2 linked regions of the Schizosaccharomyces pombe genome follow. The gene in region 1 interacts genetically with each later gene. Each region holds a gene or a part of one and is shown in the gene's direction. Other genes may lie near its edges.

What was found.
Region 2: of dsk1 (region 1) and prp2, changing one suppresses a phenotype caused by changing the other (phenotypic suppression), as found in Schizosaccharomyces pombe (one study listed by BioGRID).

What each region holds. Positions count from the first base shown.
Region 1 is NC_003423.3:823,852-829,734, reverse strand, and holds dsk1 (SR protein-specific kinase Dsk1), read left to right. Parts: upstream 1-1,802; 5' UTR 1,803-1,921; coding exon 1,922-3,556; 3' UTR 3,557-3,987; coding exon of another isoform or gene 3,988-4,490; 3' UTR 4,491-4,546; coding exon of another isoform or gene 4,547-4,670; 3' UTR 4,671-4,735; coding exon of another isoform or gene 4,736-4,861; 3' UTR 4,862-4,930; downstream 4,931-5,883. Other genes in the region: SPOM_SPBC530.15C (spermidine family transporter), read left to right, coding at 1-644; lsc1 (Lsk1 associated cyclin), read right to left, coding at 3,988-4,490, 4,547-4,670, 4,736-4,861, 5,075-5,156, 5,201-5,361. UniProt on the Schizosaccharomyces pombe protein: May play an important role in mitotic control by altering cellular location, degree of phosphorylation and kinase activity. Abundant expression accelerates the exit when cells are in M-phase and also delays the entry into mitosis when cells are in G2.
Region 2 is NC_003423.3:1,011,593-1,016,136, forward strand, and holds prp2 (U2 small nuclear RNA auxiliary factor small subunit, U2AF-59), read left to right. Parts: upstream 1-1,717; 5' UTR 1,718-1,962; coding exon 1,963-3,516; 3' UTR 3,517-3,587; downstream 3,588-4,544. Other genes in the region: fan1 (fanconi-associated nuclease 1), read right to left, coding at 1-1,120; tif1102 (translation initiation factor eIF1A-like), read right to left, coding at 3,740-3,824, 3,877-4,175; lsd1 (histone demethylase SWIRM1), read right to left, coding at 4,408-4,544. UniProt on the Schizosaccharomyces pombe protein: Necessary for the splicing of pre-mRNA. The SF1-U2AF59-U2AF23 complex has a role in the recognition of the branch site (5'-UACUAAC-3'), the pyrimidine tract and the 3'-splice site at the 3'-end of introns.

The sequences.
Region 1 (5,883 bases):
TATTTGAGCCCATATTACTTGTGGTTTCAACTTATACCGCTTTCGTATATGGTATCCTTTATGGATTACTTGAAGCATACCCAGTTATTTTTGGGGAGAGTCGAAAATGGAGGTTGGGTGTTGAATCTCTTCCGTATTTGGCTATTTTTGTTGGTGTTTGTATTGGATGCTCTAGCGTTGCCCTGTTCCAGCCCTACTATTTTAAAAAGATGGATGAAAATAAAGGAAGACCTGTTCCTGAAGCACGACTTCCCTCCATGATGATCGGTTGCATTGTCTTTCCCATTGGCATCTTTTGGCTTGCTTGGACTGGTAATTATCCATGGATTCATTGGATTGTTCCAACTTTGGCAGGTAGTTTTATTGGCTTTGGAATCATTACAATTTTTCAACAAACAATCAATTATATCATTGATTGTTATAGTGGATGTTCTGCTTCTGCAATCGCGGCCAATACATTACTTAGAAGTTCGTTTGGCGCGGCATTTCCTCTTTTTACAACCCAAATGTTCAATAATTTGGGAATTGGTTGGGCTGGTTCTCTGGTCGGATTTGTTGCAGTTGGGCTTATTCCAGTTCCTTTTATGTTGTTTTTATATGGGCCGAAATTACGACAAATGAGCAAGCACTGTCTAAAGGATTAATTCGTCATAGAAGTCCGCTTTTTAGTTGATTTGCTTGACCCTCTCTTTTCCAGTTTTTGTTTTTCTTATTTCTGTTATATTCATCTTTTTTATTCAGAAACCATGCCCGCGGTTTGTTGCCTTGGGTTAATGGCCTCAGCATTTACTTGTTGTTATTGTTATTTTCGTTAATTTAACCAGTTTGCTGCCGTTTAGATATTTAGAAACGATGGACTTTGTTTTAAATGATCTCTATTACCCGCTGCCTCTTTCTTTTGTCTTTTTGTGACTTCTTTAATAATTCATCATCCTCAATGATTACTTTTGTTGATCTCCGTTTCCTTTATGTTTCTGATCATCACAAAAAAAGTACCTTTCAAATAGACATTTATATTTATTGGTTGGTTATGAACCTTACATATGATTTCCGTTTACCATAATACATTGCTAAGACCTCAACAAAAATAACTGTTAGCACAGGCCATACTTGTCAATTTATTATATCCCGTTTTTATCAATGTAATTGAATGTTTTCGAGTCCAGGTCTTGCCCGTAGAATCACGGTTAGTGTGAGTAGGTAGTAGATCTCGGGCCGTAGGTGTGAATGCCGTAAAGCTAGAACATTATCTGAGAATTTTCATTTTAAGAACGCCGTATGTTGAGAGAGAAAACAGATCTTAAATATCCCTCTTTTCAACGACTCAAGAATTGTTTACATTTTTTCTAGCTATCCTGTCGAGATCTAAGAGCTGAATGGGATACAGTTATAATGGATAACGATATAAATTTGGAAGACCTTAACACATCTTATGGAATTCTAACGGCTGGGCTACTTCGGTAAAAGTAGTTAGTAAGGGATAGCGATGGGATGAAAGCGCAGGGGGTTCATATTCTATCAACTGCTGATATTTTTAGTGATGCCTTAGTCATTGGTATTCATATATACGGATTTTTAAGTAGTATTATTAAAATATTTATGGTACAGTAACGGAGTGTAAAGGTGGCTTCTCCTACTGGCGTAAAATAATTAGTAAACCATTTTCCCATTTTTTGTTATTTACTATATCGAAACGCTCTTCCTAATGCGCAAAGTTTCCTCGGTAGTGTGCTAAGACTCCACGGTGTTTCCCCGTGTTGATTTTCGCACTAAAAATACTACTCCATACCGTATTTATAACCAGAACAAACAACAACAACAACGAAGGAATTGGTGTATTCACATATCTCAGATATTTTAATTTAAGAGCTGGAGGGACATATCAGTAGTTTCTTCATACGGGGCAGCCAGCCATTTTGAAATGGGAAGTGACGGGTCGAGTTTGTCACCGAAAGTGTCACAACCGGGACACACTGAAATAGTTGACCATGTCAGTGAAAAGGTGATCACGAATGGAAAAAATGTTAATAAAAAGGTCAATGCTGAAGTAGACGGAAAAAGCATGGTGGAAAAGGTAAAAACGCACGAAGAAAATGCAGAGGACTATCACTATGGTGGATACCACCCAGTCTACATTGGTGAAGAATTTCATCACCGTCGATATGTCGTTGAAAGAAAATTAGGCTGGGGACATTTTTCAACGGTTTGGCTTGCATATGATCGAGCTGCCAAACGGAGAGTAGCTTTGAAGGTGGTGCGTTCAGCAGAGCACTATCGAGAGACCTCAATTGATGAAATTCGCATTTTGCAGAAAATTAGAGAAGGGGACGAAAAGCATTTGGGCAAAAAGCATATCATTTCTTTGCTCGATTATTTTGTGCATCGTGGTCCTAATGGAGCTCATGTCTGTATGGTATTCGAAGTTCTCGGTGAGAATCTTTTAAGTTTGATACAGTCATACGGCCATCGAGGAGTACCTGTGGGTATTGTAAAGCAAATTGCCTACCAATTACTCATCGCTCTGGATTACTTGCATCGAGAATGCGGGATCATTCATACTGATCTTAAACCCGAAAATGTTTTAATATGCATTGATCAGGATGCCTTGCAACATATTGAGGCACCTGCAACAACTTCCTCCCCCACTTCTAATACCTCTTCTTCAAAAACAAGAAATAACACTGGTTATACAGCCAAAGCTCCAATTATTAAACGTGGCCAATCTGTAGATAACTCTGCCCAAGAACGCAAGACATTTGCAAAAAATCCAACTAAGAATTCTAAGCCTGCTGGCCAGGTCATTCCTAGCAGTCCTTTTACTTCCACTTTGAGCCGCTTTCCTTCATTAGAAGGTGCTGTTTCAGAAATCAGCCTTCGTGACTCTCAAAAGCATAATTCTCATCCTAATTCTCCGTTTTCTAGTGGAGATAATTCTCTTATACTTGATGGTGTTAACGGTTCTCAGGAACCCGTTCCAAAAATCACTGTTAAAATTGCCGATCTCGGTAACGCGTGCTGGACACGGAAGCATTTCACCAACGATGTGCAAACCCGTCAGTATAGGTCTCCAGAAGTAATTCTAGGATGTCGCTGGGGAGCTTCCGCTGATTGCTGGAGTTTTGCCTGTATCATTTTTGAATTGCTAACCGGCGATTACCTTTTCGATCCACGGAATGGGAATTCTTATTCTAAGGAGGATGACCACATTGCCCAAATTATTGAGTTATTGGTTAATTATCCTAAGCAAATGGCACTTTCAGGAAAGCACTCCCGCGATTTATTTAACCGTCGCGGTGAACTCCGAAATATTCATAAATTGAAGTTTTGGCCTTTAAAAGATGTTTTGGAGCAAAAATACCATTTTTCAGCCGAGTTGGCTCAACAAATATCAGACTTTTTATCTCCTATGTTATGTTTTGATCCTGCCAAGCGAACCAATGCTGGTTACATGAGCAATTCTCCATGGTTGCGCGAAGTGGCTGATCCTACGTTCAAAATCGAGACTACTGGAGCAACCGGTGAAGATGTACCCGGATGGGCTACTGAAATTCGTTAGTGTTTACCTTGATATTGGTTTTGAAGCGCTAGTAAATGATTTTTTTTTATATATAGTTTTTTTTTGCGATATCGTCCCTTTTTTAATTTCCCACCATTAGCGTGATTGCTTTAAAAAAGCATGACACCTTTCACTCTGAAATGGGTTACGTATGATTATCACGATTCCTTCTTTTGATCAACATTTACTGCACTGAAATTTGAACGAAATTTCCTTTTACTTAATGAATATTTAAGATATAGCAGGGTTTAGGTCAGCTGCTTTTTAAATCATATTATGTTTAGAAAACGCATAAAATAAAGTTTTGTCATTCAAAAGGAAGTTAATTGGAAATTGGTAACTTGTAATGTCACATATTAATATACTGTTCAGAATGCTGTCGAAAGAAGGAACAAACCGATGGTAAGATAACTCATTAAGGAACCATTAGATTAAACCGTACCTTTATTTCTCCTTTCTTCCAGCATTCGTTTTTCAAATTCGGTATTAAAATACTTTCTATCGCAGTCTAAAATAAATCTGGCACAACTTTCTTTGGATTCTTGAAGTCTCTTATTTGACTCACGGTATTCATCTGCTAAAGAAGAAGAATGAGGGTCAATTTGGGGTGGTTTTTGAGGACGGCCAGAGTTTTTTTGGGCTCGTTGGAAGTCAACACATAATCCAAGTAATTTTTCCGTTGTATACATATTACCAATGCAAGTGTGAGGCTGATAATGCATATATAGATCGAGTATATCCGCAATCACTGCTTCCGTTAGTGCTGGTGGAGCGAAGAACGATCTGGGAATTATAGGTTGAGGAAGTTGCTGTAACTTGCAAGCAATAGAAATCGATGCGACGGCAACAATATGGGCTGGATATTTTAACATTGTGTATGTTTTATAAGCATCAGTGCAGACATTCCAAGCTATACTTGCCGTGGAAGATGAAACTGAAAGTAAATTAGTTAACTCGAAAATTATAAGGTAAAATGAATAGCAGTCATACATTTCAGTGATTTTGCAAATTTTACCATGTAATTGTGTGGATGTCGGACTCGAAAATCGAAACAAATCAATTCCAGTGTCATTCTTTCTAAACCTAGAATCCTCTTCTTGTTCTCTTCGATTAGCTAATACACCTGTAAGCAAGTCTCCTTATAAACAAAAAACAATTATTGCGCACCTTGTAACATACTTGTGAATGAGCATCGACCTCAGAACCTGGATGCTTTTGAAGATAATGTGCTAAAAGAATATCACGAAACTTTTTGGCCGTATCTTCGATTTTACTAGCAACTACTAAGCAAGCAGTAGCGCACTCCTAAATGTGTTAGTTATTTTTGAAAGAAAAAGAGCCTAAATCAAGAGAATATGATGTTTATAACTTGGAGTAGCTGAGCTAACATTATTAAAAACTGTAGTCTTTTTTAATAGTATGACCAATGTACAGCATTCAGAATATTCTTATATCAGAATACGTAAAATTTCAAATAGCACAGCATACTCATGTGCGAAAGACATCCAAATAACATACCAGCAAAGGAATTTCATTCACGGGAAAAAATAGTTGGAAACGACTGTATAAAAGCATTGCAAGGCCGCTGGTCCTTACAGGGCTAAAAAAAAGTTAGATTCTAGATAATTTTGAGGAAAAGCATACAATTTTAAAGTTTTTGAAAGTGTTGATATCCAAGCGAACGCCTGCATTCGCAAATTATTTTCTTTGGGATCTCGCGTCGACAAAATTCGACTTATTTCTTTTTCTGAATAGTATGGGTGTGACATTCGTATTGAAAGTACATGATTCTCATTTTCTGCCATTTTAGCAGCTAAAATGGTGCTGGGTTTGTGAAGGCCTGGCTTTACCTGCAAGGTGCAAGTATGCTGAAGTTAAGCGATTCCTTTTAAGTAACGCATTTTATCATGTTGTATACTGTAAATCAATTAAAATAAAATAATTTTAATTCAGCAATTGCAGCTCGAAATTATCATGGAAATGTTCGCAGTTATTGAATTTGTAAATTATGACAGTCCTGCGTGCTATTGTAAAAGAGTTATGAAATTACTCATTTCTAAAATAAAATGATTGTTTAACCTTCGGAGTGTTCGTCGTTTAATTTCTGAAAGTAGCGAACTCCTACACTACAACATGATTTTAGTAAATTAGTTATTTAAGTAAGGAATAGAGACGCTATGACCTTCACGCCAATTTGTCTGTTAATTAAAATATTTTTTGCATTTTTTTTTGTCTAATGAAACAGACATTTCGTCAAATTGAGCTATCATAAGAAAACATTAAACATCTAATAAATTCATATTTTCCTAATAATTCTATCATTTTGC
Region 2 (4,544 bases), 190 kb from region 1:
CGAGAATATTTAGACTTTTATGTATTAAGTATGTGTAAACAGCACCAGGACGAAAGCTAAAAGAAAACCTTACCAATCGAGTATCTACTTTTCTATTTTCTTCCACCCAAAATTCCCTAATGTCTTCATTTAGATATGTCGACCATATAGGATATATTTCAAAAAAACTGTTCAACGCTTGTTCGAGTGCTTCCTTATCCGAAGCGGCAGTGTTTTCAAAGATTGGAACCAAGTTTTTTGAAAGTTCTAAAACCTCAACGTATTCAAGGCATTGAGCACGACAATTAAAGACGTTTGAAGTTCGCGATAAAACGTAATTCGGGTAGGAAAATTTGTTAAGGCGTGCTAATATTAAAGACGTAAGCGATTGTTCATCATAAATGGACGAACGAAAGTACACAATATTAATTCGATGAAATAGGTCTACTAAAATTTTCTTTGGTTTCACACAGGATTTGCATTGATATAATAGTTGCTTCCGAAGAAACGACTCTTGCTTATGCATCACACCAAAAGCATCAAAGGACAAAAATTGTTGACCATTACAATGTAGTACTGATTGTCTTTTAGATAGGAAAATGATTTCTTTTGAAATTTCAGACCTGCTTTTTCCACACACCTTCGTTTGTCTAGCTAACGAACGCAATTCATCGAGAGATAGAATTTCAATTATTTCTTCAGTTGACATGAGTGATTCATCTTCAAAAAAATTTTTCAGAACAAGCTGCTTACAGCAGGCAATAACATCCTTGCAATCTGGATAAGTCAAATGGCCCACGCGGAACCATTTATTTCTTTTACGCATGAATAGACGAACAAACAAGTACCGTTCATCCGAGTCTAAAGCTTTAAAGTTTTCAATAACCCTCAACTCATCATCAGTAAAGATATGCGGTTCACAATCGAGGACGGTGTTTAGGATTTCTTCGAACCCCAGCAGATACATTGAATTTTTAGTAGAATATACATTGTGCTTATTAGTATTGGCAACTTGTCCTTTAACTGTTGTCTCTGGTGCTTGACATACAACTTTTAAGGGAGGGAAACATAACTTGTTCTCGTTTACCCCAGATTTATCTGGAGTGTTTATGTCGCACGCTTCATTAAAGAATCGTTTCATGAATTTTTAGATATCACAGCAGCGCGACTGAATAAGTGCACAAGATGATGGCCGTAAGTAAACAAATATTTAAAAAAAAGAGCGGCTTTTACAACAATGGAAAGCTAGTATGAAAATAAATAATAATAAATTTTGAATGAATGTAAACGTCTTCTTGTGTAATAAAGTAAATTTTTAAAAGATTGAACATACAATTTAAGAGCATGGATTTCAAGGATAAAATGAGACAAACATTAAATCTATCGTGGATGTACTGGCAAAAAAAAAACGAAAATTATTGAATTTCATGGCAGCTGTAAATTTTTAAAGATTGCTTTAAAAGAAAGCCATACAATCAAATACTATGGTCAAAAGAGAAAAATTCGTTAAAACTTAGGAGAATGGTACTAGGGTAAGGACAACAGTTTAAATAAATGCTTTTGAAAATTTAACTGCATTCGTAAGTTACAGTGTTGTCTATAATGCAAGTTTAGCGAAAGTTGCTATTTGAAACTAAAAAGAAAATGTAAGTCAACAACGTTGTGCTTAAAATTACGACGCTGGCGAAGTTACTACAAACTCTCACTACCTTAACTTAGTAAGTCGAAACTTTTGACTAACCTTGGGCGTATCACATAAAGAAAAAATAAGTTAATTATTATTGTTCATGTTATAAATTTTTTTTAGCAAGGAATCCAAGAGCATTGACGCGCATATCATTTCATTAGAATTTGTACTTTTGTATTCCCTACTTTCATCAAAGTTTTTTCCGGAGAATTTAAGAGTTCATTTTAATAAACGAATTTCTTCCCTCCCTTCTTTTTTGAATAATTTTTTAAATAGCCTCATATTCATTCACTAACATGGATTTGTCTTCCAGATTATCATCAGGTTCTTCACGGATACCCAAGCGACACAGAGATTATCGCGATGAAGAACCTAGACGAGAAAGAGGTTCGGGTGGGATAGGAAGGGAAGACCCGAGAGGCCATTATGGCTCTGAACGACCTAGAAGACGTCGCCGAGACGAAAGTGATTTTCGTAGACATAGAGAATCTCGTGAAAGAAGTTATCGAGAGGATGAGAGGCCAAGAAGAGAAAGAAGATATGATGATTATGAGCCTCGATCATTACGTTATTCATCTGTCGGAAGAAGTAGAAGTCCACCTCCCAGCCGAGAAAGAAGCGTAAGGTCTATCGAACAGGAACTCGAACAATTGAGAGATGTAACACCAATAAATCAGTGGAAAAGGAAGCGCTCTTTATGGGACATTAAACCACCTGGTTATGAATTGGTTACTGCTGACCAGGCGAAAATGTCTGGTGTTTTTCCTTTGCCAGGCGCTCCTAGAGCTGCAGTTACTGATCCAGAGAAATTGCTAGAATTTGCTCGCTCTGCGGAAGGAAGTATTATTGCTCCCCCTCCGCCCTTACAACCAGGTGCTAGCAGACAGGCTCGTCGACTAGTGGTTACTGGAATTCCTAACGAATTCGTTGAAGATGCTTTTGTATCATTTATCGAAGATCTATTTATTTCAACTACATACCATAAACCCGAGACAAAGCATTTCTCCTCTGTCAACGTCTGTAAAGAAGAAAACTTTGCTATTCTTGAGGTCGCTACTCCTGAAGATGCCACCTTCCTCTGGGGGCTTCAGTCCGAATCATATTCTAATGATGTCTTTTTAAAATTTCAAAGAATTCAAAATTACATCGTCCCTCAAATTACCCCCGAAGTTTCTCAAAAAAGAAGTGATGATTATGCCAAGAACGACGTTTTAGATTCAAAAGACAAAATTTACATTTCAAATTTACCTTTAAATTTAGGCGAAGATCAAGTGGTGGAGCTACTTAAGCCTTTCGGTGATTTATTAAGCTTTCAATTGATAAAAAATATTGCAGATGGATCTTCGAAGGGTTTTTGTTTTTGCGAATTTAAAAATCCTTCTGATGCGGAAGTAGCTATCAGCGGTCTTGATGGTAAAGATACGTATGGGAACAAGTTACACGCACAATTTGCTTGTGTAGGTCTCAATCAAGCTATGATAGATAAGTCTAATGGAATGGCCATTTTGACAGAACTTGCTAAGGCGTCATCACAATCTATTCCAACTAGAGTCTTACAATTACATAATTTAATTACTGGGGACGAAATTATGGATGTACAAGAATATGAAGACATATATGAGTCTGTAAAGACCCAATTTTCGAATTATGGACCACTTATAGATATAAAAATTCCTCGTAGTATTGGCACTAGAAACTCGGGATTAGGAACTGGAAAGGTTTTTGTACGATACTCCGATATCAGATCTGCAGAGGTCGCAATGGAAGAGATGAAAGGTTGTAAATTTAATGATCGCACGATTGTCATTGCTTTTTATGGTGAGGATTGCTATAAAGCTAATGCATGGTGATTTCAGTTTCAATGAAAAGGTTAGTATAATATCTTAATGTTAGGGTAATAATATCAGTATTTCTCATTGGATTGTTTAAAGTGTAACAAAGTACTCAATTGTAATGAGCGATTGTGGGATGAAGTAATTCTTGCAAGCATTTCCCGTTATACGCTTTTTATCATCGGTTTAATTTACAAGGTTCGTTGTAAGGATTCTTAATATATGTATTTTTTGTAAATTGTTAGTCACTATCGTATTCTTCCTCGCTACTGCTGCTTTCCTCAGAATCGTTTTGATTTAACGATTCATCTGCAAACTCTTTAGGCCTTTAAACTAGTTAGCACAATCATCTAATGTTATTTCAAGAGAATTTCTTACCAATAAATTTGTTTTTTCCAATTTTTTAAAGGGCTTTGTACCACGTACAATATAGTACCGTCAATTTTATTGTCCTTCTCTAAAAACTCAGATTTATCAACTATTACAAACCCATTTCTCCTAACCCATATTTTATTACGATACTTTGGAGGCATCTCAACAAGTAATTCCTGTCCATTGTTTTCTACTACCATAAAAAGCGCAGATCCTTTAAGTTGCACAACTTTGGCGACGACTTGATCTTTTTCCAACCTAGCTGGTGGATCAAACGAAATTTGACCGCCATATTTTTTTGACATATTAGTATTTCTCTAAAGAGCTCGTATATATGTGATAACCAAGCAAATCGTAGAGAATTGGGTTTATGGTGGTTAGGAAGCTTCGACAAGTGGATTTACAAGATGATATGCATTTCATAAATGTCATTCCTTTCTATGAAAAAATAAAATTTAGTATACCATTATAACTTAAACGTAAAAATTGATCTTTATCTCATATAAACTACCCTTAAAAAAAAACTTTAAATGAAGCTCATGAGAAATTGTCAGGGAATACTTCACTTATTGAATCCTCATAATCTAAATCATCATGATAATCATCATCACTATTTTCAACGGACATGCCCTCTTTTTCAGGATGTAGATGTTCGTCCTCTTGTTCAGCAAGTA